2 linked regions of the Xenopus tropicalis genome follow. The protein of the gene in region 2 purifies or fractionates together with the protein of the main gene of each other region. This does not show direct contact. Links are inferred from orthologs where the notes say so. Each region holds a gene or a part of one and is shown on either strand. Other genes may lie near its edges.

What was found.
Region 1: the proteins of srek1 (region 2) and rnps1 purify together in Homo sapiens (affinity purification with mass spectrometry; 3 studies listed by BioGRID and IntAct, counting the BioPlex papers as one, with this or other methods). This does not show direct contact. The link is inferred for Xenopus tropicalis from reciprocal best matches to the Homo sapiens genes SREK1 and RNPS1.

The regions. Positions count from the first base shown.
Region 1 is NC_030685.2:21,734,607-21,750,383, forward strand, and holds rnps1 (RNA-binding protein with serine-rich domain 1), read left to right. Parts: upstream 1-6,107; 5' UTR 6,108-6,225; coding exon 6,226-6,227; intron 6,228-9,795; coding exon 9,796-9,951; intron 9,952-10,065; coding exon 10,066-10,260; intron 10,261-10,509; coding exon 10,510-10,612; intron 10,613-11,625; coding exon 11,626-11,779; intron 11,780-12,109; coding exon 12,110-12,254; intron 12,255-12,349; coding exon 12,350-12,449; 3' UTR 12,450-14,414; downstream 14,415-15,777. Other genes in the region: uncharacterized protein LOC100490582, read right to left, coding at 1,224-1,544, 2,779-2,895, 3,544-3,689, 4,106-4,538. UniProt on the Homo sapiens protein: Part of pre- and post-splicing multiprotein mRNP complexes. Auxiliary component of the splicing-dependent multiprotein exon junction complex (EJC) deposited at splice junction on mRNAs.
Region 2 is NC_030677.2:187,483,588-187,499,067, forward strand, and holds the start of srek1 (splicing regulatory glutamine/lysine-rich protein 1), read right to left. Parts: upstream 9,947-15,480; 5' UTR 9,743-9,946; coding exon 9,618-9,742; intron 5,916-9,617; coding exon 5,782-5,915; intron 1-5,781. UniProt on the Homo sapiens protein: Participates in the regulation of alternative splicing by modulating the activity of other splice facors. Inhibits the splicing activity of SFRS1, SFRS2 and SFRS6. Augments the splicing activity of SFRS3.

The sequences.
Region 1 (15,777 bases), on a different chromosome or scaffold from region 2:
AAAATTAATTTTCTGTCTGCACATAGGCACATTCTTTACAGACCTGTGTGGCCAAGTAATACCCCAAACACCAGTGTAAGCTAGTGGCTGGCCAGCCTCCTACATAGACTCTCTCATATAGCCCTTATAGTGGACATGATCAAGTTTAAGCTGGGGAAGCCATGTTTGTTCCGTTTGCATCTTTTCAAATGTATGTAAGGCTAATGGCACACAAGGAGATTTGATGCAAAATAAGGCAAGTCACTCACCTAGACCCAGTGTGCAAAGTGCAATTTTGTGCACAATCGCTATGTTCTAATTTAATTAAACAAACTGTCAAATATAAATGTAATTTTTGTTGTGTGTGTGTACATGTAGATGAAAATAAACACAGAAACTTTACACAATTTCATTGTTCCAATATTTAAAACTTAGAATGCATAGGTGTCTTTTCATTGCCCTCAGCCCCATAGCCACCTCAAAGGAAAGATGAATACAAGGCTAAAGGAAAGAGAGAAGTCACTGATTAGAGGCAAATAAGTTTCATCGTAAGAGTAGGATTTTGCCCCCATGACAAACCTGTAGTCTGATACACAATATTCACAGTGGGGTAACTACAGTCTTCCCTCACTTTGAGAACAATTTGGTATCTGGTTATCCTAATTACTATTTAGTGTGCCTTAAGGTCCCCATACACGGGCCGATTCTAGCTGCGATATCAGTCCCTTAGACCTATTCGGCAGCTAATCGGCCCCTGTGTGGGCACTACTGACGGGCCTGCCCAACCGATATCTGGCCTGAAATTGGCCAGATCTCGATCGGGCAGGTTAAAAAATCGGCTCGTTGATGCAGTCCCCGGACCGACGTTTCCTATGCCCATCATTATAATTCGATTGTTTGGCCCCAGGGCAAAACAATCGAATTAGCCTGGATTTTCCCGATATTGCCCACCTGTAGGTGGGGGATATCGGGAGAAGATCCGCTCGCTTGGCAACATCGCCAAGCGAGCGGATCTTAAGGTTTATGGGCACCTTTAGTCTTTAGCCATTTAAACAAACTAAAAGTAATGCAAATAGGTCATATCATAGATATATATATTTCTTTTTTAAAAAACAAACTTGTAAATACAATTATTAGAAACTGCATACAATCTGATCTGTTCCACTGATCATATAGTCCAGTTCAGCCACGTGCTGCCAAAATCAAGGCTCGAAACCTACAACAGTCCACACAGTCAGTTCACTTTACAAAAGTTCCATCTTAAATGCGCCCAAATCAGGGAGTGTTGCCTCCATTTGCTCCCCGGCACCATAAGTGCGACAGTTTTCAGTAGCCTTGGCTGTTAAGGTAGCTCCCAACTGCTGAATCTGCTGCAGCAACTCCTGGTGGTTGTTCTGTTGCTGCCTGTGTTGTTCTTGTTCCCAGCGACTCTGCCGGTCCATTAGGGTCTGTATGGTCTGTGTCAGCCTGTGAATGTCCCCTCTTACTGTGTCCAGTTGCTCTGCACTCATGGTTGGCCTTGGTGGCGGAAAGGACAATGCTGTCTGTATGCTGGCATCTTTCACCTGAATGAGATAAGCAATAATATTAGTGCATGTGGGGCCAATGAAGTATGCACACAGCAAAATAGATTTGTAGTCAGGCTGAATTTCCCTTTTGGCCAGGTAATTGTGCCGCACATACACATACACTATACAGTAGTAATGATGTGCTTAGACTTTCTCATATATAAAAAGACTTCAGTTGCAGCAAGGGTAAAATCTTTTTGAGGCCTTGGGTAGGATAACAGGTAAACTCCCAGGGCAACTTTTAACATAATATAGGCGGGTAATTTTCATTGGTCTTCATTTTTTTGTAGTGTGGGTTTTGGAATTATTTAATATCTAGTTTGGAATTGCAGTAGCTATGCGGTTGCTAGGGTCCAATTGATTCTGACAACTACGCACTAGTCTGAATAAAAGACTCGAAGATGAATAGAAGTGGGCCTGAATAGGAAGAGAACTATGTATATGTATGCATAATGAAAGAACAACCATAAAATTGCAATAGGTGTTTGGCAGACAAAAAAGGCAGATAATTCAAAACCTATAAAAAAAACTAAGAAATGGGGACCAACTGAAAAAATGAAACAGCACAGGCCACATATGAAAGGGATTGTTCACCTTTGAAGTGACTTTTAGTATGATTCTGAGACAATTTGCAGCAGGTTTTCAATTTTTATTATTTGTGGTATTTCGGTTATTTAGCTTTGCCTACAGCTGCTCTTTAGTTTGGAATTTCAGCAGCTATCTGGTTGCTAGGGTGTTGTTTACATTACCAACCAGGCAGTGGTTTAAATGAGAGACTGGAATATGAATGGGAAGAGGCCTGAAAAGAAACAAAGAATAAAAAGTAGCAAGAATAAAATTCTAAGCATACAGAGCAATAGTTTTTTTTTTTTAAGCTATCGAGGTCAGTGACCCCCCATTTAAAAGCTGGAAAGATGTAGAAGGCAGCAAATAATTCAAAAACTATTAAAAATAAATAATGAAGACTAAATGCAAAGTTGCTAGAAATAAGACATTCTATAATATATTCTATAAAACTTAACTGAAAGGCAACCCTCCCCCCCATAACAGTTAACATAAAGATATTACGTTTACTATTGTTATTTCTGGGAGCTACGAGTGCCTACCCAAAGGTCATGAATGAGCTAAAGTAGCTAGCCCCCAGCAATAGCCCTTGCACTGCCAAGCAAAAATAAAAATGAGAAAAGAGATAGTTAAAAACACAAAGAAGTCACATTTTTAGTTCACCTACCTGCTTGGAAGGTACAGAGACTGTTCTTATACTGGGAGGATGACTGTCAGCGTAGGTTCTGACTGGGTAATGTGTTCCATTAGCAACCATTTGGGCTCCATTCTGAACAGTAACCTGCTAACAAGTAAGAACATGTAATTTACAAAGAGCAATTGACTGTGAGTTGCAATGGTGCCTCAAAATTCTCTACAGTTAAAAGTACCAAGGGCAACTAAAACCAATAAACCTACTGTACTCAACATCGAGTAATGCAACACCTTATAAGTAAGTAAAAATAAGGTTGGCAACTCAACTATAAACTCACACCATGTGATCCAGTAACTTAGAATGCTTAAGTTAGCAACCCTACTATAATAACGATCATGTGATCTGGTACCTTAGGAAAAACTAGGTTGGCAGCCCTCCTATATGCACCACATATGTAATCTGCCACCTTAGAAAGACCAAATACTACTTCTAAGTACCACCGTGTGATCTGGTACCTTAGAAGAGGTTTGGATGGCACCCCTACTATATGCACCCAACGCCTCATCTAGCACCAGGAAGTGAAGGTTGGAAAACGATGTGATCAAGCATGGATGGAAGGCCTCCTTTGATTCAGCACCTCAGGAAGCACATAACTGCAGCCCAATCACAAACACCCATCAACTGATCAGGCACCTAGTAAAATCTTAGCCTGGCAACCCCATTAACACACATCATGCAAACAGCCTGGGAAGCTCAGGTTAGCAACCCTACTAAAAGTGCCCCCATGAGTTCTGTTACCTTTTTCTGAAGGTGGATAGCTCGATCCACTATCTTCTTGGTTACCAGCAAAGCCGGATTCCTAGGAGCAGGGACGGGAGTTCTTGCTCTTCCGTGAAGCTGTGGGGGAGCCACCGGCAGGCACTGCGCTGGTCGTGGCCCATTAACTGTGAAATGCACATATGATCAAAGGTCGACCCCTGCAGAAGGCTTTTTAATGCTTTTGTGGTTTCCATTTTGGTTATACCAAAATCTATAAACAGATAATTGTTTCTCAGTCATCAATATAAGTGCCATCTGCCATTGATAAAGCCTCGCCAGGGTGGGATGGCAGTTTCCACTACTAAGCATGATATATATATATATATATAAATATATATATATATATACATACATACACACCGATATGAAAAGCTAGTGCAAGGGTACATCATATAGTGTTGTGAAGTTTTAGCTAACAATAATGTACAACAAACTCACACTTTACTGGTCAGAAAGATTAACTTTTAGGAACTCATGATGAACCACTGCAAGCCAAAATGCAAAATGGCATCAATGGGTACTACAGAGATATTGCACTCACACGTTTCTGCTGGAGCCTGTCCTTGGGATATCAGTCTCTGGTTGCTGGAAGATGCCTGAAAGGCATGGTTACCTTTGGATAGAGAGGTCACACTCACTATCTTGATACCTTCTTCCTGGCTGACCACTTGCGGTACCCTGTGTCCAGCATCAAGTTTAGTCTCTGTACTGGCTGGCTTCTGCCCAGTCTCCTGATAGGGAGTCCAAGGCTGGCGGTCTGCCCATGGCTGTGCTCTTGGGGGAATGCTTTGGGTCTGGTTGGCAGAGGATGACTTTTCAGGTTCAATGTTCTTTCTTTTAAGGAAGAGATAGATGGCTTGTGGTGTCACCTTAATATTATCCAACTCCAGAACTTTCTTTATTTTACGAAAGCTTAACCCGGCTTTCCTCAAGATCACAATCCTGTGCTTCGCATTCTCATCCAATCGCCCCATATTTCTAGCATTCAGCAAACTTTACGGGGCTGAAATAGATTGAAACCACATCCGTCACAAAGTTTTGCGATTAATCAAAAGTCTCAGTGCACTGATCTCAATTAAGATCCACCCACAATCCAATCAAATGTGGATGAAAAATATTGCATTAATAACCAGTGGTGCTCAATCTGGGTTCTAAAGCCAGTGGTGGTGCTAAATCTTTGGGCAGCAGAACCACTCGGCCAAGCTGATTCCCTTTAATAAACCAGTCGCTGGATTCTGATTGGTGGAAGGTGATGCAGTTATATTCCACCATGACCTTAAATTGGATCCTTGTTGTATTCGGTTTCAGAAGTTCTGGCCCCAAGATATTCCACCTGCTAAACAGGTACTTTTATTTCATTGCTTGCAACTAATGATCTGAAGAAAACAGGAGGTTGGTGTTAGAGTCATGAATAAAACCAATATCATTTCTCACTACATACATTAGGACACAAGTAATTCTGACCCCTACCCATGATAAAACTGCCCAGTCCTTCTTTATACGCAGTCATCAGAGATACAGACACCCACTCCTCATATGGGAACATACCTTTCACTTCCAACTAACAGACATCAGGGCACCTACCTCTCACCTCCTCCTAATACATCCACAGAACCTGCTTCTCTCCCCACCTAATAAAAATAGGTCAGGGGGCTCATTAAAGGTGATGCTGATACCAATCAAACCCTTCAGGCAGGCAATTCTGTGTTGTGAGTACAGTAACTGACCCTTTAAGTTCTCTGTGGATTTGAGTGTAGCATTAAAAGGAATATGCACCTTATTTATAAGAGGGGAAATATTCCCTTTATGAGAGGACAGATCAGAACAGCTTCCCTCCAAACCTTAGGGACCTTCTGGAAGGTTCAATGAAACCTTACTGAATCCTGTACAATGTATACAAACCTTATGCTTGCCCTAGGCGACCTAAGTAAGGTTTATGGATGCCCTTTATAACTCAGGCAAACCTAAGGGTTGCCCTGGGCAACTCTAGCGGGACTTATGGTGGCCTTGACAACTCATGCAAACCCCCTAGACAGCCGGGTTTATGGGGGTTCCCAACAACTCAAGCAAACCTTATGGGGAGCTAGACTAGTTGCACTCTTTTTTCCCAAAGGTAAAGGGTCACCCTTGCTTTTTGTCACACTCACCACCTTATGGGCCCCAAAAGTGCGACGAGACACGTAAAGCAATCCTCCCATCCGGAAGAACTAACATCCCTGCACCTCTCCTAACACAGGCCACACTTGCCTTTATAGCGGCTGTCCCTCGCACCTATCTATATACCGACGCGTAGTTGTACTTCTGGCACAGTTTCTTTATAACCATATCGCACTTAGTGTTTGTTTACGGAGCAAAACAGGAAGCAGCATAGGTTTCCGCTCCGTGCAATAGACATACACGCACACATATTAACCCCGTCACTCCTAGAAATGACAATTACTAGTAATGTTCCTGCTGCAACTCGGGACTATCCTACTTCTTTAAAAGGCTGAATCGCATTTGCGTCCGCTGTTGTGCCACGCCCACGTCCAGCAATGTGTGACGTCAGCGCCAAGGCGACCAGAGTCGCTTATCTTTTGTTTCAAGATGGCGGCGACACGTCACAACGAACGCGACGGTTTATCTGATCTTAGAAGGGACAGGCAACGAAAGAGCGGCAAAATGTAAGCGGAGCTCCATAATCTTTTTCCATCCTGCAGCGCTGCTTTCCGTACGAGTTGGATATTGGTGGGACGGTGCAGGGGAAGCATGGCGGGTTCTATTCACCGATGTATTGATTAAGAGAGAGCAGGGTGGTGTTTGGGATTGGCCCCGAACGCAGTACCGAGGATTTATGGGGGTATAGGCCGCAGCTGATTGGATACACATATCGCTGCGTCTATACCTTCCTGGGGAGTTGTTTCTTCTGCACACTATTCCCTTTGTATATGGGTTTGGGCGATTTCTTCTTTATGTAAAATGAATTCTTTCTGAGCTTGCACTGGTTAAATTGTTGTGTTTATGTAAGGGGACAACAAAAATGGCTGCCACTGCTTGACTGCCCCCGTCTAGGGAAGGCTGCCTTGTATTTCTCTCTGGGTATATTCCCTCAATGTGTATATGCTTTGCACTGGATTTTTTCATTCATTGATATGTGCTGCTGCCCTGTGGGTTTGCTTACGTTTTGTATTGGGGCACCATTAGTTTTAGTGCTTTAATATATGTATTAAATGTCTGGAAAAACCTTGGGGTTCTTGGATCTCCAGTAATTCTGTATTTATATAACAGCAACATTATACTCCATTTACATCAGAACCTGCCCCAGTCTAAGGGTTACATATAAACTCCTTGTAGATAGTGACCCCCAGCTGGAATTGAACATTAGGACCCCAGCGCTGCCCAAACGTACTATGCTCTACCCCATTGTTATTAAAGGAACAGTAACACCAAAAAAATTAAAGTTTTTTTTTAAAGTAATTATAATATAATGTATTGTTGCCCTGCACTGGTAAAAATTGTGTTTGCTACAGTAACACTACTATAGTTTATATAAATAAGCTGCTGTGTAGCCATGGGGGCAGCCATTAAAGTTGGAAAAAAGGAGAAAAGGCACAGGTTACATAGCAGATAACAGATAAGTTCTGTAGAATACAATAGTTTATCTGTTATCTCCTATGTGCCTGTGCCTTTTCTCCTTTGAATGGCTGCCCCCGTGGCTAAACAGCAGCTTTGTTTATATAAATTTCTGAGGCAAACACACCAGTTGTACCAGTGCAGGGCAGCAGTATATTTTATTATTATTTTTATACATTTTCATTTTTTGGTGTTACTGTTCCTTTAAGTGCCACAGTTGCATGGATATAGGTGTTATAGGGCCACCATGGCATTTTAAATCCCCCCTTCCTTGTTTTCTAATTGTTCAACTTATCAGGATAAAGGTTTCAAGTGTTGCCTGCAAATTAATGAGGAGGGATTAAGGGCTCTGGTACACGGGGAGATTAGTCGCCCGCGGCAAAACTCCCTGCTCGCGGGCGACTAATCTCCCCGAGTTGCCTTCCCTCTGCCATCCCACCGGCGAACATGTAAGTCGCCGGCGGGATGGCAGACGCGGCGGCGCGATTTCGCGCAAATCGCCGAAAAAGACTCGCGAGGCTTTTTCGGCGATTTCCCGAAATCGCCTCGCCGGTGTAAGTCGCCGGTGGGATGGCAGAGGGAAGGCAACTCGGGGAGATTAGTCGCCCGCGAGCAGGGAGTTTTGCCGCGGGCGACTAATCTCCCCGTGTACCAGAGCCCTTAAGGAGAGATACAATACAAGGTGGTGGCCATAGCTATGTTGTACATATATGCTTTGAGGTTGGGGAGAGTCTGAACCACACTGACCTGCGTGTTTCCAGTACCCATAATAAAGCCTCCATCTGCGTTTACACAGACCAACATAATTTAACTTTTAATCGCTGTAATAACCGGTACATGTTACTCCCACTTGCATTTTTCAGCTGTTTGACCCTGTATCACCCTTACAGGAACATTCTAAAAAAAAAAAAGCAGTTGCGCACCAGATGAAGTGCTCAGCTGTACGCGGCTTAAAGCGGAAGTCAGCGTTTTATTGTAAAGGTCTGATTGGTTGCTATGGGTAACATCACCACTGAAGTTTGTCTCCAGGGGTAATAAGTACGCCCTTAAGTGATTCTCCAGAATGGCCGTCCTGCTCATAATTCAGTAGGCAAGTGTGCACTGCATTGGCAAGCAGGGTACTCAGTGCCCAAGAACCCCCAATACCCAGTTGCACCAATGCTGTAGAAGGTTTGGAGATCAGCAAAGGAGAGATTTTCATCAGGAGTGCAGCACTGCTGGCTGGGTACTGGCTCTTAAGGCACAAACCCCTATAAGAAGGCACTTTGGTTCCCAGAAGCAGCCACATAATACAGCACTGACACTCCACTAAGCACTGGAAGGCATTATTTTTCATGGGAGGAATCGGGTTTCTTGTGCTTCAGGCTGCTCTAGGTTGGATAATATAGTTATTATTAGTTGCCTTGAAAGTGCCATCTCCAGGATATATGGTACCCCCACTCCAGTGAATATAATCACTTACCTGATACTCTGGGCCAGACATCTGTGTGCTGAAGAGTGCACCAGCCTGGGGCTTAAGAAAAGATTGCAGTGTGGCACTCTTACAGATGTACCCTGGGCCAGTGCGTTTTTCAGCAAACAGGAGCACTCGCCTGGGGTATTAGCAAAGCGTTGGCAATTACTGGAGTGCACCTAACATTTGGCACCCCCCAGTGATTATACATTTCCTTCTCCTTTAATCCCATGCACCCCACCAGTTCTTTAGCCCTACCATCCTAGCGTATCACCTGGAAGCACATTCCCAGAGCTGCCTTTTACTCGCCCGTGATAGATCTCTGTTATCGAGGGCATCTAACCACTCTGAAAATGCCTTTCCACTGGCAACAATAGGAGTTTCCGGTGGAAAGGCCTTTGCGTCGCTTTGGTTTTCTGAGCTTGCCTGCAGGAGGAAACTCTGCACAACTTCAGAAAACCAAAGCAATGTGAAGGCCTTTCCACCAGCGATTCCTGTTTGTGCCAGTGGAATGGTATTTCGGAGCCATTAGTTGTCCCCGGTAGCAGGGATTTCTAACTGTCTGCTAACACATTTCATGGGACATCAGCCTAATGTCACTAGGCATTAGAGTGTTTCTCATCACAGCATGCTGTATATGATTAATGAACTGCATCTGAGCAGCAAGATGGTTTTTCTTGGGCCAGTATCAGCCGTCTGTTCTTGGCCAAGTTTGTTTGATTAGACAGATATCAATTGGAGGGCTAGAAAATCCTGTCTGGACTATATCTGGCTGTGGGTGTGGTGCTGTCCTGGAAGGGGTGCACGGGCTCCCTATGTGGCATGACTGTCTGGGCTGGGGTCGATTTGGACTAGCACTTGTCTTGACAAATCAAGCAAACATCTGCGTGTGGCTGGATTTGGGCTTTATTACTTGTGGTTTTTGTTCATGTACAAACTAAATAAACCATGATTAAAATATAGAACCAGGGGATGTTAACTGATCAGTTATTAAATTCATGTAGGCAGGATTTTTTTATATAATAATGTTGCTAAGCCACCCTAACCATGTCATCCTAAATGGTTGTACAAACTTAGCTTGGATGCTGCCCATCATCCGGCCAAAATATTGACACAAAACATGTTGCTACAGGGCTCTAAATTTTCTTTTCCTCTGCTTATCCCAGGGCTCCTTCACCCAGCAAGAGGAAGGAACGCTCAGAAGACAGAGCAAAAGATAGAGGCAAAGAGAAAGCTCCAGGGAAAGAAGGCACAGATAAAGACCGCGGGCGTGATAAAGCAAGGAAGAGGCGCAGCGCCTCTAGTGGCAGTAGCAGCAGTAGGTATGTGGCAAAAGAGATGTCTTAACACATTTCTTTCTGTTAAACATGGGCATATGAGGAAATATTAAGCTACAGTTGATGGTTCTTACAGACTAACCATGCCTTTCTCCCCAGCCGTTCCCGCTCCAGTTCATCCTCCAGCTCATCATCAGGTTCCAGTTCTGGATCCAGCTCGGGTTCCAGTTCTTCATCTGCTTCCAGCCGTTCAGGAAGTTCCAGTTCTTCTCGCAGCTCTAGTTCCAGCAGCTCCTCGGGTTCCCCAAGTCCTTCTCGGCGCCGCCATGATAACAGGAGGCGCTCCCGTTCAAAGTGAGTCTTTGTTCATATTTTATTTTTTTTGTTCTTGAATGATGGAGAATGTCATGTGAGCTAGCACTGGGCAAAGGGACAGGGTGGTAGAAGTATAAGTAGCAGTGGTGACTTGTCTGACTCTGCATGCCAATTAAATTTCATTGGATGCCTGTTTGATCTAAAAGCTTATTCTGCAAGCCATATTGGAGGCCTATTAGGTCGAGAGTCAGTATGAACACTTATTTTTTTATTTTTTTTTTTTAATAGATCCAAACAGCCAAAACGTGATGAAAAAGAAAGAAAACGACGGAGCCCAAGTCCCAGACCCACAAAAGTTCACATTGGGAGGCTGACAAGGAATGTAACTAAGGTTGGTGTGCCTTATGCTAACTGTGTTTTGCTTTTCTGTAGTTTTTGCTTTGCATGCACAGACTTTGTACAGAAAAACTTTTATGTTCTGCCTTCCCAGTGGAGGAATTTCCCAAGGCGCCGTTCTCATTTAAAACCAAAACCAAACTTCAAACCAAAAAGTTTTTAAAACTTTTAAAGGAAAACTATACGCCTGAACAATGTAAGTCTCTGTAAAAATATGTTGCACAAACAAGCTCATATGTAAAACCCTGCTTCATCTAAATAAACCATTTTCATAAAAATTATACTTTAGTATTATGTGCCATTGGATAATCCTAAATAGAAAAGGGCTGCCTCCTGGGATCATATGATGCACATAAACCAAGCCACACATACATGATAGGCCACTTCAGTCGATAAATGGGGCAGAGTTCTGTTTTTTTACTTCCACATTATTCTAGTTTGGCAAGGTTCTTTAATAGGTCACTTAACATTCTATAAATTGTTAAAGTATTTATTCTAGGGGTATAGTTTTCCTTTAAATGCCTACTGATATAATATGATATTGACATTTGGGATATGCTGGTTATTGTAAATATGATTGAAAAAGAAACGATGCATGGGACAATCTGGGCCCCTTCAAATTACTTGATCTTTTCCTCTTCTGTGAAGGGTCTTTGGGTAGTGGGCAGCCTTTCACACAGTTACATATTGTAGTAGTGACAGCTGACTCTTAAGTAGGTTCTCTTCAAGGCAGGGAATGCAGTTACTCCTGTGGGCAGCTGTCTGCCACCTGGGGCCAGATGTTTGTCGTAAAAAAGAGATACTACAAAACCCAGGAAAAATTCAAGACCGTCCCTTACAGGGCAGCATTTGGTGCATCCTTTCACCAATCTCTGTATAATGCACGTTGGCATAGTTTTGCTTTCACAGTTTTTATGATATATCACTTAGATTTGGTCTAAAACATTTCACTTCCTTATTCTAGTAGTTTAGGTAAACTGAACTTTATGCCTCTCCTCTTTCCCCAAGGACCATATTCTAGAGATCTTCTCCACATATGGCAAGATTAAGATGATAGATATGCCTGTTGATCGCTACCACCCACACCTGTCCAAGGGCTATGCCTATGTTGAATTTGAAGCTCCTGAAGAAGCAGAGAAAGCTTTAAAGCACATGGATGGAGGTAGGAGGGGTTTTCCTTGATAACCCATTAACTATATATAGTTCTTTTGACAGATTTTACGTATTTGTTTTTGGAATGTGGCATAGAGGGCGTTTTGGTCAGTGATGGGTGCAGATCGCTCATGGCACTTGTGCTGATGATAGCGACCTGCATTTAACAAGGCATCTTTGGTTAGTGCCAAATAAAATGCCCAACTAGCCACTGCCCTTAGCTTATTGCATAGTCCAGGCTAATGTTTAGATGATTAAATAACTGTTAATATGCTGACTTATATAAACAAAGAAGATACAAGCTGCCTGCCAATGTTTTTTTTATTCTGTGTCTCATCAGGACAGATTGATGGTCAGGAGATCACTGCTTCAGCTGTTTTGACACCGTGGCCTATGCGGGCAATGCCCAGAAGGTTCAGTCCTCCTCGGCGGATGTTGCCACCTCCCCCGATGTGGCGGCGATCACCACCACGCATGAGGAGAAGGTAGATAATCTCCATCCAGCTGTGTCTTGCTACTCCGTTCTCTGTAGTGTATACAATGTGTATTTATGTTATCTAATAAATTCCAACCTCTGCAGGTCACGTTCACCTCGGAGACGCTCCCCAGTAAGACGCCGTTCACGGTCACCCGCACGTCGCCGCCATCGCAGTCGTTCCAGCTCCAACTCCTCGCGGTGAACATGTCGTCCTCTCATGCCCCTTCCCTCCCACACCCTCTGCAGTCTGACACCATAAATCTTTCTCAGCAAAGTTGGCTGGAGTATCTTCTATTTTTCAAGTTTCTTGAAACTGTTCCTTGTATAGCAGCATCCTGAAATGATAGGTCCAAAGTGAGAGGGTGGAGACAATATTGAAGTAGGCATTGGCTGCCAAGGGACCTACAGATGTTGGCCTCCACCCCCCAGAATCCCACTCTCAGTGGCATGCTAGCAGCTCTAAACAGGATTGAAATGCATTATCTCTGTAGCTCTCTAGTGTGGAACTGAATCTGTGGCTGCTAGTCTCAATGAAGGGTTTATGGTAAAGGGGCTTAATAGGATATGCAAGAAATACTGTCTAGCCTCATAGCCTTGCTTACCCTATCTAGTGGACTGATCAATTCGCTGCGGCCCTGCTGATTCCAAAATTCATCCTTATATTATAAATCACAAATGAATGATTTACTTTCCTCTGCCTTTGGCTAATGGCGCACATTGGAGAGAAAAAAAGGAAAAAAAGTCCCTGTGAAATGAGGGATTGCGAAATTGCACCTTCTCACTGTTTAATGCACAGCTATCAAGGTCTCATGTTGCATAATACTAAAACGTAACTTTTATTCCATGTAAATATCATTAAAGTCCGTAACCGTGTATATACATTTTAGTACATTTTTAGCAGCTCCAAACTCTCAAGCTGACCCCAGTGTGCTTATTATCTACCCCCTTCCCGTCTCCTGCTGCGAATGCAGCATTATTGCTCTCCTTCTAGCGTTATGTTGGAGTTCATGGTTAATGGTGGTCACAATTTAACATTAAATGTCAAAAAATATCTCTAAATTTGGGGCACAGTTTAAGGACATAAGGAGAGTGAGTTCAACATTGGAGATGCTGAGATTCTGACTTCTCTATATACCCTGGGTTACATTCATTTTTACTGGCTTTAATGATCTCACATGGAATAAAGTTAAGTTTTAGTATTACTGTATATGAAACCTCAATGATTGTGCATTAAACAATCCCTCTTAAGGAGTTCTCCTTGTTTTCTCCATTTTTACATTTTGGGATATTTATGTGCACCACAAATTACTATGGGGGTTATGTAATAGAAGGCACTAAGTGTACCCAGGTACAGTAACTTATAAGCAAGCATCATTATTGGTTGCTATGGGTTACCGCTACTGGGCAAACTTAGTGCCTTTTTTCACATGTGGGATTATGTATTTTCTCTGGGCTGTGGTGCAGAGCCACACATCAACGTGGGGTTGCTTAGCTGGCTGCATTTGGGGTTTTTTTTTTTTTTTTTTTTGCTCCTTAAAGGGCACCAATCATGGCCCCAGTTGCTGCCTGATGCAGTTCCATGGGAGTTGCCCACAACTATGTTTTCACAAGATTTCCATAAGCAGCGATTGGATGGCAGGAGGGTGACGAGAAAAGATTTAACCATTTTTAAAAAGGGATGTGAAAGCGCCCCAATGTTGCTCCACGTGCAGCTGGTTTTTATTTAAAAAAAAAAAAAAAAAATCCTGAAAGATACTGTTTAGTTTTTAAGAAGCAACTGTGTTTTCTTTAAGTGACTCCCAAACCCCCCTGTGTAGGTTCTGTAGGCTCACAAAGCAACATGGGTTGGCTGGGTCTGACCTACAAACCTTGGCAACTGGGAGTTAACAGTGAATACACCTCTCTGGGCAGGGCCAGGACAGCCGCCTCCTTACAGCTGCTGGGGAACACCGCTCACTTCTGAGCTGAGAGTTGTAGTTTTGCAGCTGTGGGAGCTTCCTGCCTGTCGCTGTGGAGTTCAGTGCTCCATAAATATTATAAATGGGGATGGGAAATATAACCTGTACAGTTGATATTCTACTGTGTTTTGTTTTTTTGAAGTTTGTTTTATAATATCTGTTCCATGTCTGTAGAATAAAATACGGAATAAATGGAAAGAATTTTTTTTTTTTTTTTTTTTTTTGTCTCTCTCTTCCCCTTACAGCTTTTGCCCATGTCTTGTTTGGTATCTTATTGCTTTCACCTAGAATCTCCATTACCTTTAAGGTGTATATGTACTAGATATACTCTGTATAGCAGGAATGGAAATTTGAACGTTTCAGTCGATGAAGTAAAGTACAACTCCCAGCATCCCCTGATAGCCTTGCCTGTTATTGGGATTCTGGGAATTGGAGTTCAAGTTGCTCACAGCAGTCACTGTTGTCACTGACCAGAAATAGGCTGAGGTCCAAAAGTATGTCCATGGGTGTTTGGGAATAATATGCAGTTCAGCATATCCTCATGGAAAAGCCAAGGCAGAAATCTGTCTCGCAATCTGTCAAAAAATAAAAGATGATATAGATACATTATTCATTTCTGCTGATGACTTGAACATGAAATGTAAACCTGCCCACTGGAAGGAGGCTTGAGGTTAACACTGGTGACCTTAAGAGACTGCCCTTGGGCTTTTTATTGCATTGCAAAGGGTTAATGCATTGGAAGAAGCTAGATGTTTGAACTGATGGGCAAAACCATAGGAATTGAGTATTTTCCCAGTGTCAGGGAAGGCTGCAGTGTCATTGGTCAGATAGGCAGGTGGGCCTGTACCAATCACTGCCAAGAAAATAGATCACATGACCAAGCTCAGCACCCTTGTAACCTCTGGTTATGTTTTCTTCTTTGCTATAATGCAATTCTACAGAAGTAGTTCTGTGATACTATGAAAGAGACATGTCATTAGATTGGGATTGTGACATAAATGGATGGCAACTTAAAGGAAAGGTAACAGTAAAATATTTTATTAAAAAAAAATAAACAAAACTACACCCTCTAAATAATACCCCTGTCCAGCTGCATTGTACTTATTTACCTACCACTTTGCCAAAAAATCCTAAATAAAACTCTTCACCTGAACACAATGTATTCGCTAGCAGTATAGTTTAGTATGTGAATAAAAAAAGACTAGGAGAATAAAGAGGCTGAGAGAGGACAGGGAGATAATAATAATTAGGAACATGGGCCTGTGGGCTAAAGTTTTCTGGTGGGCCCCTGCCATCCCAGTCCAACCCTGGCACACAGTGGGCAATGCAGTTAACTCTTAGTATAATGTAGAGAGTAATATTCTGAGACAATTTGTGATTGGTCTTCATTTTTATTGTTTGTTGTACTTTTTAAGTTATTTCATTTTCAGTTCAGCAGCTCTTCCATTTGAAATGTCATCAGCTGTTTGGTTACTAGGGTCCAAGTTACCTTAGCAACCAGGAAGTGGTTTGGATGAGAGACTGGTATATGAATAAGGCCTGAATAGAAAATAAAGTACAAAAAGTAACTAA
Region 2 (15,480 bases):
TAAGAATTATTTGTTTGTAACGGAGTCTATGGGAGATGACCTTTCCGTAATTCAGAACTTTCTGGATAACAGATCCAATTCCTGTAATAAAAACTAACAATAACAATAAAATTGTAGCCTCGCTGAACAACAGTGTTTGGCTGCTGGGGTTAGCGACCCCTATTTAAAGGTTGGAAAGAATCTGAAGGCACATAATTCAAAAATTATTTAAATAATAATGGAAACTAATTAAAAAGTTGTTTAGAATTGGCCATTCTATAACATATTAAACAATAACTTAAAGGTGAATCACCCCTTTAGTATAAATGTTTTTAAAATGAGAACCCAGCATATATTTCTTTGGTCTGTTATTCGTTTCTCCTATTTGGAGAAATGGTGGGTTGCTGGCAGTTACTAGCAACACAAGGTTCTCTATCAGTCTGTATTGCCCTGACATAGCCCTAGCGTGCCCATTATTTAGAGCATGTTGTAATAGCCCCCAAGAAATGACAAGCAAACCCATTCTTTTGACGTTACTGGCCATTGCATTACAATTCTAATAGCAAAATAGGCCCTACATTGTCACCAGTAAGAAGGGGTGGCACATCGTGCTGTCTCTGCCACAAGCCACAGTCCGTCAAAAGAAGCATCAAGTTGAGAGAAAATGACATAGAAGTAAATTAATCTTATTCACATTATTAGCACAGCTAACATGAACTAAAGCCTACCTTGTGTTAATCTAAAAGAGGGAGAGCAGGGACACTAGATTTAAATAAAAAAAAACACAAAGAAGCAAAATAAAATGTACAGGAAAATAAAAAACAAGAAAAGAAAAAGAAGAAAAAAAAAAAATAAAGAAACAAAAACAAAATAACAGAGACAGGACGTCCATCTTCGGCCACAGCCTCCGAGCTCATCCTCACATGAAGTTTTCCCTTTTCCCTTGACGGCAGGTTTAGTGGCATGGCAAACAGTGCCTTACTCAGGCAAGTGTAACAGGTCTGCCTTGGCCAGGCTAGTCATCTAATAATGCACATATATCACACAGAAAAAAACATACAAAACCAAATTGTTAAAATTCTGTCTACTGTGAAATGCAGACATAAAAAAAAAAAAAGAAAATGAAGGGCATAAATGTTGCTCAAGTTGGCTGATTTTATTTGAGTAAAGACACCACTCCCACTAGTCCCAGTACATCAAATGGATTTTACTATCACAGTATTTTTATCATGGGAAAGGAGGATGTAAGACAAACCAAGATTTTATACTTAAATAGACAGTAGAAGAGTCAGGATTATCTGATTTTAGGAAAATGGTTAAAATGTTTGTTGTGTGTTCTTCAATGTAATAAATGCATAACGGGCAGTTAGTATTCACTTTACTTTCATTGGAACAAGCATAGAAATGTAATTGGCACAAAAGGAAGGGAAAAAAAAGAAATGTACCCTAAGAGAAAACTATACCCAAGTCACTTTGCATTTTCAATTCCAGATTGTGGGACATTTGATTTTTCCTTTAACATTTTATTATTTTTCTATGGCTAGCAGCTTCTCTTAGCTTGTGCTGTGCCCATATACAACTGTGGCTAGTGTGTGGAACATACATACTTCGGAACTATTCTGTATCTATAGACAGCCATAACCTATGTACAAGAGTGGATCAGATGACTAGTAAATATCAGTGAAAGCCCCTTTTTATTTAAAAGCAGTTGAGTTATTATTCTGTATAACTGTTTAGGGTATGTCCCACCCAGCAGTAACACTGGCTTAGCCTACATAGATGAAATAATGACAAACCCGTGCAATGGGCCTACTAATAATATTTACATTAACTTATACTGCAAGTATCGTTAAATGACGCACATCCACCACCAAAATAAATATTTGTGTGCCCTTATATCTAAATCCTGATGGATTAAAAAAAAAAATAGAACTTGAAGGTTCTCACTACTAATTTGATGCTGTGTCTGTGTGTATTCATTGATAAGAGCATTGACCAACTTCCTTGTATAGGTTAAGCAGTAAACTCTTCAGTAATTCAAAATTTTAATTAGAAAATAAAAACCTTAGCAGTAAGACAAACAAACAAGTGAAGTACTTGCTTTTTAAAACTACTGGATGGACCTACGGACACTTGCACCATGCCTCAAAAGTTTGTACAAGCTTGAAGAACTACAATTGTGAAGCCAAGGTCCCCTACTGCCATTGCAACTTCACAGGTCCCAATGCTACAACTTCCTATGCAACAAACAAATCTAAGATGTTTGTCACCATGGGAAAGCAAGTGCTATCTATGGGGGTCCCAATCAGCACCCATTGCAAGCTAAAAGTCAGGTGAATACTGTACATTCAGCATCATCCAACAAGTTGTTGGATAGAGAGATACAAGTTTAAAATGTATGGCTTAACGTGTACATTGGGACCAGGGGTGGAAAGTCCAGCTTACAGCCTAGTTAGGTTGAAATAAGGGGAGAATGCCTATTTGGTATCCCACATGCCAAACTTGAAGGTAATTAAGTGAGCTATCCTCTGCAAACAATGGCTGAACATCTAAAACATCAATACTTTTGTGTATCTGTAACCCTGGTTTGAGCTAACTGAGCCCTGACCAAACACTGTACCACAGAGGGACTTGAACCAACACTTAAAAACCAGTGTCCTGATACACCAGGATGTGCAGGTCAATCAGTAAATATGTGCATTCATGCCTGGGACATATACAAATGGGAAAACTCTCCAGAGCTGTACATTTAAACACACCATTGGAATATCCACCATAGAATATCAGAGCCCTTTATCTAAGGGGCCTGGGGGGGGGCTATAGATTCAGCCTACTCAAGATCTCGTTGTATTTACAGACTCATGAACATATAATGGAAAAAACATAATGTCCTGCACAGACAAAGCCCTCTATCCATAATCATCCTTTGGCCCAAAAGCCTACAATTCTCTACTACGCTGAGACAGCTGGAGCTCAGCACACACCTAATTGCTAGTAGTATTTACTGGCATAAACTCTTACAAGCTAAGATGTTATTAGGGAATTTTAAAGCTGACTGACTTCCCTCCATTGTTATGAATAAATGCACCTATTTGTACCATAGGATATAAAAAGAAATATTCCAGTTTATTTAATTATAGCTTTTTCTTAAATCTAAGGGGGGAGAAAAGGCAAAATTCTTTAAAAACTTATAAGATGTCTGTTTACTTTTACCAAACCCAGTTATCAGTACTAATACATCAAATAATATACAAGAATGGATCTGCAATTAAATCAGTGTCTAGGAGAAGTCCAGTTAAGTGAGAAGCAGTAAAGCATATAGCCAATGTCTCCTCTTATATCAGTAAAAGACATGCAAAGCTACACAGGTCACTTCTCTGTTATCTTTCTAGGAGTTATCCCGTTATAAGCCTTATGTCTAAAGACACCTGCCTAGTTATTAAGGGATTTAGGGGCGTATTTCTTAACATTAGAGACAAACATCACCGGTGAAGTTGCCCATAGCAACCAAACAGATCTTTGCTTTTGTTTTCTAACTTGTAGGTTACCATTTAAACCTTATTGCTGATTGGTTGCTATGGGCAGCATTACTGGGGATGCTTGTCTCCAGTATTAATAAATACCCCCCCCCCCTTAGTGAATAAGAACATTGGCTGCATCAGTGCTCTGAGGTGTTGCTCCTCCGACAGGACCAATAGCCCAATGTGACTCACTGGTGGCAAAGATCTTGGTTTGGTGTGACCTCCCTTAATAAGCAAATCTCATAGTGTATCACCATCTTAAACAGAAATTATTTTTCAAAAAGATCGCCAAAAAGAGCAAGGGCTATGGGTAAGAGTGCGCACAGAGCTGCTGGTTATTACTCGGATACTGTTAGTGCAGTCCATAATGGTTTCAACTTGATATTCTCCAAGACACTATGGCAGCCCCATATGCATGTAAATGAGAGAAGCATTAATACAAGGAATTCCTGTGTTTGTTTTTATATTGTTTAAGTACTGAAAAGCCTTGCAATGTTTTGTATAAAGTTGTAAAATGTATTAATGGGGTACATGCTTCCCATTAGTAGCCCCCATTAGTAGCTACCATGCTCAGCAACTGTTGTATCTAGGGGTGACCGTAGTAAGTGTCCCATACAAAACCAAAAATGTGTAATATATCAGTAATATTATAAGAAGTATCTGACAGAGCTGAAAAAGGCTGGAAGGAAGAAAGGAAAAGAGAGAATGAGAGAAAGAGTGAGAGTGAAATTTCACACATATAAAAGAGACATCAAAATGTAGTTATGGACACTATTTTTGGCCTAAAAATTTGTATTTATAAATTTTGCTAGGAGTATAAGGAAACATCTGGCAGTGGCAGTTTAACCTATAGTGGAATAAGCTGGGTATTTATTAAGTTGTGGGTCCAGGTTTGGGTCAGCTACACCCAATTAGAGCTTTACACATCTTTACGTCAAATTAACCCCATTACACTAGCACTGGATTTTATACCAACAAGATAATAAAAACAGCAAAGCTTTTGCTTCTGTACAACAAAGGTCTAGTAAAACCAAACTTTAAAAGTACAATGGCACATAGGGTTTTGTGATGTATTCAGGAAGAAAACAGAGGTGGTCAAAAGGCCCCAACCACTTCTCCCTATTCCCTGTGTAATCTATAAGAGTAGTGCATGTGGGGGTGACAGAGGGACCTCTGCTAAAAGATGCTGAAGCTAGAATGTTAGTGGAGGTCCGGCTGCCACAGTTTCTTCTGCACTAAGCTGTGCATTTGCCATAGAATACTATGGGAAGCAGTTACAGATACTGTGGGGGTACTGTGATTGCAGCTTTTATACACCAGCATCATTTACTTGTTTGTTTAGCAGCACCAAATGTGAGCAAACCTTTCCTTCTTTTATAGCACAATATTTGGCATCTGCTAGGCAGACTGAAATGAGCCCCAGCTGACATTTATATACCAACACCTCCTCCTCAATAGTTAACTCAATGCATCTCACACAACTTCTTATTTACTTTGCAAAGTGCTTCCTGTGTGCAAACTGCTAAGTAAATTTCCCTTTAAGACATGCCAGCTTCTAAAGCGCCTGTTAGGTCTTAAGTCAAACAAGGTGTTTTACCCCCACAATACTCTCAGGGACATTGTATGTCATTAAAGGACAGGTCCCCTTAAGAAGCCTTGACCCGTTAAAGCAGTTGCTAACGCAGGTACACAGGCAAGTTTGTGTAAATGTGTGATGCATCGCCCTTGTATATGTACAGCAAGCAGATGCATGCCAATAAAAAGCAATGCAACAAAGACTTTTGAAAGACAAATATACATATATGTAAATGTAATAACTTCATGTCATGTGACATTTCCAGCAAATCAATAGGTGGAAACAGGGGTGGAAAAGAAGAATGGGATTCATGTAGCTTTATTCTGTGTATTAGGTTTGTACTCACTAAGGGTGAAGACACACTGGGCTACTAGTAGCAGCTACTTTTTCACGGCTACGCCAGCAAAATCCCTGCCATAGACAATACTGAAAATTGCCTCTGCTAAAACACACAGAGACAATTATCAGTAAATGATCAGCACTGTCTGTTTTAGTAGCCACGACAAAGTAGTTGCTACTAGTAGCTCTGTGTCTCTTCACCCCAAATGTAACAGAAGGGGGTGTCTGAAATCAAGGTAGGTGTATGCTGTATACTAGTTGCTTTCATTTGGATTTGATTGAAGTTATATGTGAGAATCATGACATCACCCGCTGGAAAGCACAAACAGAACAATGACATCACATAAAAGCATCACAAATACCAACCTTCTGCACAGGGCACAACTATCAGAGCTCTGTCAATAAAAACCGTGTTAGTTAGGTGCTGGGCCACGCCGACGCTCGAAGGCTCGCGATACTTAACATAACAAACTTTGGAGGAAAATGCAAGAGGAGCATTGCTGAAAAATAAGAGAGACACACAATTAGTCTGGGCATCACAGAAATAGTATTACATCTGATAAAGCACAAAAAGGCAATTTGACAAATGTTAAAGGGACCATGAAAATATTTTCCCATAAAGTAGATGTTTTAACTTTGAAGTTTTAATATTTTATGTTCTTTTATGATTATTGCACTTCCTCAACCTAAAAACATGTCTCTGACACAGCTATAGAACTTATGCTTTCTGCCTCAGACAAACAGCATATATAGCAGGCAAGGATCACATAGGCACATCTAGCTTAGGGGTTTTTGCAAATAGTCAGCAGAATATGAAGTTCACTTGCCATAAAAACTGATGCCACAGGTCTGATTATTAAATGCTGATGCAAAACGCACTGGTTTCCGAGCTGCCATGTAATGAGATTTTGAATTATTCTATATATACAGTATAATGTGAGAAGGCCCCTAAGCTCAGGTAAGTGACAGTAGCACAGAGTATGGGCAGGGAATCAGCAGAAAAGAAGATCGAGGCTACTGGGGGCATTTTTGAGGGCACAGACCTTCCCTGCTAAAGGGCTGTGGTTTCCTTGGGCTAGTAAAAAAAAAAAGTCCAAAATAAAACGTTTAACATTTTTAGCCTACTTCTTTGTTTCGCTTTAGTTCACATTTAAATCAGATTTAGTTGGTTGCCCAGGCAAAAATGAAAAACATGTTATGTTGAGGGAGCACACCAAACAATAAGACATATATTATCTGTGTAAGATCCATTATAATTTACAGTTAATGTGAGTCACTGAACGTAGCACATAATTACATCACTGTGCCATATGACAGTTACCATATATAGAATGCTGTCATTGACAGGAATACAGAAAAGAAAAAGAGGTCGCCATCTGGGATTAAAGAGAAAGGATTTAGCTTCAGCAGGGGAAAAACTGTAAGAGTAGGAGTTATGTAACTGCTAAGGGACAAGATCATAACATTTTTCGGATATGCAGTTACATAACACAGTTATGGCTAAACTTCATGGATACTCTTCAGGTGGGTTTCCACTGTAAAAACTGCCCTTGCCCTTTGCTTCAGTTACATGTGCCTGCCACTGCACACAGGGGTAAATTTTAGCCTGGACAAGAACATATTTGGGCCAAAATCCCCCCACTGTGCAAAGAGACGGGTATGATTGCTCACTGTCACTGCTCCAGGAGCTGAGAACCCACCACATCTGGTAATAATACCCTAAAAGGTTAATTCATGGAAAGCTAAATTTCTCCTTCTAGATTTTCCTTCCTCTGCATCCCTATATTGCACTGAATCCAGATTATTCAGCAGGCAGGTATTGCACTACAAAGGCAGACTTTTAAACAATTAAAAAGTCTCTTCTGCCTGCTATTAAGTGTGACACCCCCAGTGAGCCAGGACGCTACATAATAATGCTCCAATTTGGAACAAAGTGTGGCTAACCAAAACCATGGCAGCATGCAAGAGTCTGTAATCCTCAGGCACATATATATAGTAAGGCATCCAAAAGCCCTGGAACTGAAGGGAATGTACAACTGAAAACCATTAAGCCCAGGAAAATTTCATTTTTTCCCCAAGCTGTAATAAAATAATCCGCAGAAAGATACTGCAATCTTCTGCCCACACAGCCATGGCATGCATTATGCCCTACAGCTGTGGCAAGGTTAGAATGTATAGTCTTGGGCAGGGGTACCCAGAGTTTGTCACCCTGTGATCTACTCTTGCTATCTGGCCTCCATCGTGAGTCTACCAAAAACTTAAAGTGATCTACTGGTAGACCTTGATCTACATCCCGTGGGCACCCGTGGTCTTGGGTCTATAAAGCCCACCCATCCAGATGCACATGTTCATCCATTCACTGCTAACGCTATTCTGTTAAAGGAACAGTAACACCAAAAAATGAAAGTGTATAAAAGTAACTAAAATATAATGTGCTGCTGCCCTGCACTGGTAAAAGTTGTGTGTTTACTTCAGAAAGTCTACTATAATTTATATAAATAAGCTGCTATGTAGCCATGGGGGCAGCCATTCAAAGGAGAAAAGGCACATGCACCTAGCAGATAACAGATAAAACACTATTGTATTCTACAGAATGTATCTGTTATCTGCTATGTAACCTGTGCCTTTTCTCCTTTTTTCCAGCTTGAATGGCTGCCCCCGTGGCTACACAGCAGCTTATTATATAAATTATAGTAGTATTACTGTAGCAAACACACCAGTTTTACCAGTGCAGGGCAACAGTGCATTATATTTTTATTACTTTAAAGCTCTTTCATTTTTTGGTGTTACTGTTCCTTTAAACCCTGGAACATGCCTGCAACACTATGTGAGCTCCAAGGTGCCAGAATTGATCCAAAATCACTCATGCCAGTGTGAAATACCTTAAGCTGCTTGTACACAAGCGACCTTGCCAACTGAATGGATCTGGGCCTGAACTGGCCACCTATGTGACGGCCCAATCAGACTGATCCAATCATATCTACTAGGGCCAATGATCTAAACATTAACATACACCCAGACTCTAATAAGGATTAATTCTATCTTAGTAGGGATCAAGTAAAATGTGTTGTTTTATTATTACAGATAAAGAGGAATCATTTTAAAAACTTGTGTCAAGTGACAGTAGAGAACTCCGGACTTTAGAAGGGTGTCTGGATACTTTTGGCCATATAGTGCAGCTGAGGTTTAAATGACAAAAAAAAACCCCACATAAACACTTGCCACCTGGCTTTTATTTTACTGGCCCGGCTATATAAAAAGATGAGCAATGTAGCGAACAGATACTTCTTACACAGGCTTTTACTAACATGACAAAGAAAATATTTTTAATGGCTGTGTATCCATACTTAAAATTCTTAGAGTTGTCATTATACAAAATGGAATATTTTGTATCCAGTTACAGCTCTAAACATGTTTTGGATGAGAGGTTGTGCCATAGTGATTGGTATATGCAGCTTACAGGGCTGACTGTGCTCACTATTCAGACAAACGTTATCATAAGTACAATGAGTGGGCCCAAACAGCAATCACATGCACAGATACTAATATTCCGCCAGTGGCCTGAGCATTTCCATCCAGATGGCAGCCCCCAGCCCTCCTGTTGTTCGGCCATCTGACGGAAGGATAAACTGAAGCCTTTGATGGGCAATACTAATAACTGCCCCAGGCTCTGACCAATCTGCCTGCACGTGGAGTCCGGAGTTTGGTTCCACAAGGGTCAGTTTCCACCCACAGCCCAAAACCATACACACGGCTTCACTGGCTTCTGGTGAAAACTGCTCCAGTGGGGGCTGCGTTAGTGCCATAGGAGGATTAGAGTGCAAGCTCCAGTGGTGTAGGGGCTAATATGAATGATGTACAATCTCTGAGTACCATTCTACAGGGTAAGAAATACTAATACAATCACCAGCAGATGACAGAAAGCCTATGGCAATGTGACTGCACTAGCACATTCCAGCTGTGCAGATGAACTACAACTCCCTGGGCCGTAGCCATAATCAGCCAAATACAAACCTATACCTTATACTGGTGATTTAAACTGATATTATTATTATTATTATTATAACACCTGCAGCTATAAAGCTGGTAATGAAGCTGGACAGCAACTCCCAGCAACCCCTGCCAAACACTGCTCAGCGCTGCAGCACTCCGCTACTGAGAAGCCCACCCCCATCAATGTGTATGGCAGCCCCTGCACTCACTCAGGCGGATAGAGCCTCAGTTCTTCTATATCCCCCAGGAAGGAGAAGAGAGTCCGCATTTGATCGCTTGTAACAGCCGCAGAAAGGTTTGTAACCTGAATGACCGTGGTCTGCCCGGGGCTCATGGCGGCGGCGGTAAAGGCTGCAAAACTAGAGCGCAGCGAACAAGGATGCACTCCCGCTCCGGCGCAGCCACCACAAAGCACAGGCAGTGGCAAGTGCAGAGCGCCACCGGAAGCGGAAACGCTAACAGTCCCTCACTGTAGAGGAATCTATCACTGCCTTCCCAGTGTAGCCCTAGGAAAGTAAAAGTTAGTGGCGGTGCTGCTAGCACTGCGCTGTACCCGCACCATTTAAACATGGGTAATTGATAACCAGCGTTATAACGGCACTGTCGCAATTACGCATGCAGTCTATAGTTTTAAAGCGAAAATAAAAGTTCTGTATGGTGAATAAACTACGGCTTTAAAGCAGTTTCTGTATGGTCCTGTTCTGCCCTGCTGGCTCTTTGTCTTGATACAATGTAGCAGCAATCAGCCCTTCCCCAGCCAAGGCAGCTTGTGGCTTCTGCTACATCGCTTCCAAATTAGACATCTGGTAGGGAAGCTGGGGGAGTAGTGTTACACTGGGTACCAATAAACCCACAGATAAGCATAGAAAGTGAGGGACAGAGCATTTCACTAGTTAAACCTCATTACACTCAAAGCTGATTGTCCAGCCCTTTGTATGGTGGAGATTTTGTAGCTGCCTTTGCGGTTTAGGATAGGGCCAGGGTTCCAATGAAAACAGTTTGGCAACCTACAGTGGCTTGCAAAAGTATTCGGCCCCTTGATGTTTTCCACATTTTGTCACATTACAGCCACAAACATGAATCCATTTTATTGGAATTCCACGTGAAAGACCAATACAAAGTGGTGTACACGTGAGAAGTGGAAGGAAAATCATACATGATTCCAAACATTCTTTACAAATAAATAACTGCAAAGTGGGGTGTGCGTAATTATTCAGCCCCCTGAGTCAATACTTTGTAGAACCACCTTTTGCTGCAATTACAGCTGCCAGGCTTTTAGGGTCTGTCTCTACCAGCTTTGCCCATCTAGACACTGAAATCCTTGCCCATTCTTCTGTGCAAAACAGCTCCAGCTCAGTCAGATTAGATGGACAGCGTTTGTGAACAGCAGTTTTCAGATCTTGCCACAGATTCTCCATTGGATTTAGATCTGGACTGTGACTGGGCCATTCTAACACATGGATATGTTTTGTTTTAAACCATTCCATTGTAGCCCTGGCTTTATGTTTAGGGTCGTTGTCCTGCTGGAAGGGGAACCTCCGCCCCAGTCTCAAGTCTTTTGCAGACTCCAAGAGGTTTTCTTCCAAGATTGCCCTGTATTTGGCTCCATCCATCTTTCCATCAACTCTGACCAGCTTCCCTGTCCCTGCTGAAGAGAAGCACCCCCAGAGCATGATGCTGCCACCACCATATGTGACAGTGGGGATGGTGTGTTCAGAGTGATGTGCAGTGTTAGTTTTCCGCCACACATAGCGTTTTGCATTTTGGCCAAAAAGTTCCATTTTGGTCTCATCTGACCAGAGCACCTTCTTCCACATGTTTGCTGTGTCCCCCACATGGCTTGTGGCAAACTGCAAACGGGACTTCTTATGGTTTTCTGTTAACAATGGCTTTCTTCTTGCCACTCTTCCATAAAGGCCAACTTTGTGCAGTGCACGACTAATAGTTGTCCTATGGACAGATTCCCCCACCTGAGCTGTAGATCTCTGCAGCTCCCCCATGGGAGTCACCATGGGCCTCTTGGCTGCATTTCTGATCAGCGCTCTCCTTGTTCGGCCTGTGAGTTTAGGTGGACGGCCTTGTCTTGGTAGGGTTACAGTTGTGCCATACTCCTTCCATTTCTGAATGATCGCTTGAACAGTGCTCCGTGGGATTTTCAAGGCTTTGGAAATCTTTTTGTAGCCTAAGCCTGCTTTAAATTTCTCAATAACTTTATCCCTGACCTGTCTGGTGTGTTCTTTGGACTTCATGGTGTTGTTGCTCCCAATATTCTCTTAGACAACCTCTGAGGCCGTCACAGAGCAGCTGTATTTGTACTGACATTAGATTACACACAGGTGCACTCTATTTAGTCATTAGCACTCATCAGGCAATGTCTATGGGCAACTGACTGCACTCAGACCAAAGGGGGCTGAATAATTACGCACACCCCACTTTGCAGTTATTTATTTGTAAAAAATGTTTGGAATCATGTATGATTTTCGTTCCTCTTCTCACGTGTACACCACTTTGTATTGGTCTTTAACGTGGCATTCCAATAAAATTGATTCAGGTTTGTGGCTGTAATGTGACAAAATGTGGAAAAGTTCAAGGGGGCCGAATACTTTTGCAAGCCACTGTATTTTCCTCATGTCCCTTATTGCTGAAGAAGTGTATTTGCAATAGGAAGTTGTTATTAGGGTTGCCAGTATAAAAAATGTAATGGCAATGTACTTGCAGGTAAATTTGTCATAACTAGTTCTCCGCCCCAGCCACGCCTCTGATCCGCCCACAGTCCCTTGCCCAGCGCCCTCTCTATGCCATGAGAAGTCTGCCCAACTTACAAAGGTCTTCTGTTATCAGTGTCGGACAGGCCCACCAGGATACCAGAAAAACTCCCAGTGGGCCCAGGTGTAAGTGGGCCCTCTTGCTCACCCAACCATGCCTTTACCATAGAGAAGAAACAGAAGAAATGGAGGAAAGGATAGATAATAGAATGTAAAGTGAAGTAATTAAGATTAAAGATTAAAGAAAGTTAGTAAACAGAGAAGGGGAGAGTGGGCCTAAGGTCTTCTGGTGGGCCCTTGGCACCCCAGTCCGACACTGTCTGTGATCCAGCTGGTGACACATCGACTCATAACCCCACGTCACGGACACACACCCTCGCGATCCCTCCCCCATCCCGCCAGTACTATTGTTGCCAAAAAGGTGGCAACCCTAGTTATTAAAAAAAACTAACTCAATTCATTATTTTAAAAGAGAGATTCTCAACCAGTGGCTCAGGGGCAACATGACGGCCCTTTTGTGTTGCTCCCAGTGGCCTCAAAGTAGGTGCCCATTTTTACATTTCTGGCTTTTGTTTGCATGAAAACCAGGTTTCTGCACCGCTCAGTGATGTAGCCTTTCCTTTTCTTTAAAAAAAAAAAAAACTGCACCTGTCAGCTTTTCGACTCTACTGTGCATGCCTGGGCCTGGGCCTGGGCCTATCAAATAATGAAGAAGCAGAAGAGATGATCACCTAACATTAGTGATTTTAACTTTTCTCTTTAAAGTAAATCAATACCCCAAACAATGTATAAAACTCTGCTTCATCTAACAAACCTTTTTAATAAAAAAAATATATACTTTTTTAGAAGTATGTGCTATTGGGTAATGCTAAATAGAAAATTGCCATTTTAAGAATTAAGGGCCGGATCATAGGATTTACAATAAGCACACAGATATGTTATGTTAGGTCACATCAGCCAATGACTGGACAGAGTTCTGTCTTACTCCCACATTACTTCCTGTTACAGTTAGAGCTGCATTATTTCCTGTCAGGTGATCTCTGAGGGAGCACACAGCCCGTCACTAAATGGCGGCTCAAGGGAAAGGATATAAAAGGGCAATATTTACTGATATATAAAATTCTTTAATAAGCCACTTATTATGATATAAACTATCTATTGGTTAAGTTTTCATTCTAGGGGTATAGTATTTTTTTTAATGTGGTAGTTCATCTTAAAATTCCTTTTAATATGATGTAGACAGCATATTTTGTACAGCAGGTCTCTGTTGAATTCAGCAGCTAAACGCAGACCTTCTTCATTTAGAGAAAGTGCTATTATTTTGTGGGGCTTCAGGTCCCAAACACAGGGCAAAGTATGAATGAAAAAATCGGGGCTCATTAAATCCTACCCCCGGTTTAGCAACTGTTAGAAGCATCTCACTGGCAAGTTTAATGTAAGGTTCCGCAGGCCGGGAGATTCTAACAATGCGTAGTGTTGGAAGCGCCCACGTTATTGTGCAGCACAGGGACCTTACTGTCAGCTCCAGCTTCATTGCACATTCCTAAGGCCCCGATCCATTACTGTTCATAGAAGTACACAAAGGGGTATATTGTGCCTTTTAAATGTACAGCCTTACTAAATACCAGCCGTAAACATTATTACAAGCTGCATCACTGCAAATGATTACTGGCTTTACCATAGGCCACTGGCACAAATATCTGCATGATGATTTTAGTTGTAACGATGTATGTGAAATATTTGTTTGCTTTCAATGCGCATTGCGGCACATGGGAATCCAGAAGGATTTTTGGCAGAATCAGTTTATTCAATTATTGAAATGATTAAATCTACAATGGTTGGTTTTACCGTATCTAATGCTATGTCTCAGCCAAAGCTACCTTATTGAGAAACTGGCCCCTTAGGTTTTAAATCAATAAATGAATGATATATTTACCAATAAGACTTATTTTCAACTGCATTGGTTAATGGGGTACTGTTGTTGGAATCAAATTGTTTCAAAGCCATATATTGCGTAAAATGTTGTTTTGATAAATTGCACTTTACAATTTTACGTGGTATTCTTTTTCCTGGTACTTAAAGGAGAATGCAAGTCAAAATGTAAAAAGCATACTGCCCAATAGTCCTCCTATTGTTTAGTAATAACGCCACACTTTTGGCTCACCTAATCAAATATTTACTCAGTCACACTTACTTCACATTTTCTAGAACAGGCAGCCATCTCTAAAAAGGTATTCTCCCTTCCTTTCCCTCCTTGCTTCATACTGCACATGTGTTTCATTCCCTCCCCCCCTCCCCCTCTGCCAGATCCGCTTCTGATTGGTTGGTAGGCATGTGTAGCTCAGAACAGGAGACAGGATCAAGTTACACACATGCTCAGAGAATAGGAAGGCTGCCGCTGGCACCTACAGGAAGGGGAGAGAGATTTCAGTGATGTCACTGTAGGCTTCACACTGCTGTAGGCTGCCAGCACCATATCTCAGAGAAGCAAGCAGGGATCTGGGAATTTAGATATGCAGTAAGTACTTAAAAAGAATGCCTTTAGACTTACTTTTAATTTTTATTAACCTTTCATTGTCCTTTAAGGCACTGTTACTATTTGTTTCTGGAAACCTGCATCAGCTCTGTCCTGATTTATAGCAGGGGATCTAGATTTACAGTAAGTATTTAAAAAAAATATTGGGATCCACGCTCACCAAAAGGATGCATCGTTGCCAAAACTGAAAACAAGAGAAGTGGGCCAGATCAGGCCGATCTGATTTTATTGGTCTGTAGATCAAAAATTGGATCACATGGGGCACCCATCGAGAGCAGCGCATCCACGTCTTCATGTGGCCCTCCAAGGATTTTTAGCCTTACCAGGTGATGTCTGACAAAGGCCTGATCAGTTATTGGTTCTTTTGATTTGCTTCTAACCCTTTCCTGTCACTACTGGAGACTGGGAAACTTGGTACTTAATTGATTGGTGCACCTAAGGGGCCCCCCCAGGAATAAAAGTCTAACACACAGATATAGCAAAAACAGTAACATTTATGTAAGAAATAAAATATGCATTTGGGCATCTAATTCATCAAAACAATAACTGTACATGGGACAAATGTGGCTAACTAGCAAAGAACATGCTAGCCAACTGAATAAGTCTCTAAGGCTAATGTCAGACCAAGCATTTTCTCTACTTGAGCAGAAAATGTTAATACTGCCTTATGCCAAAACTGCAATGATTTTGAGCCAAAAATTATCCCCGTGCAGTGCCAGGTGAATGTCATTCCTGTCAATACTAAGAAACTGCACTTGCATGTTTTCTGCC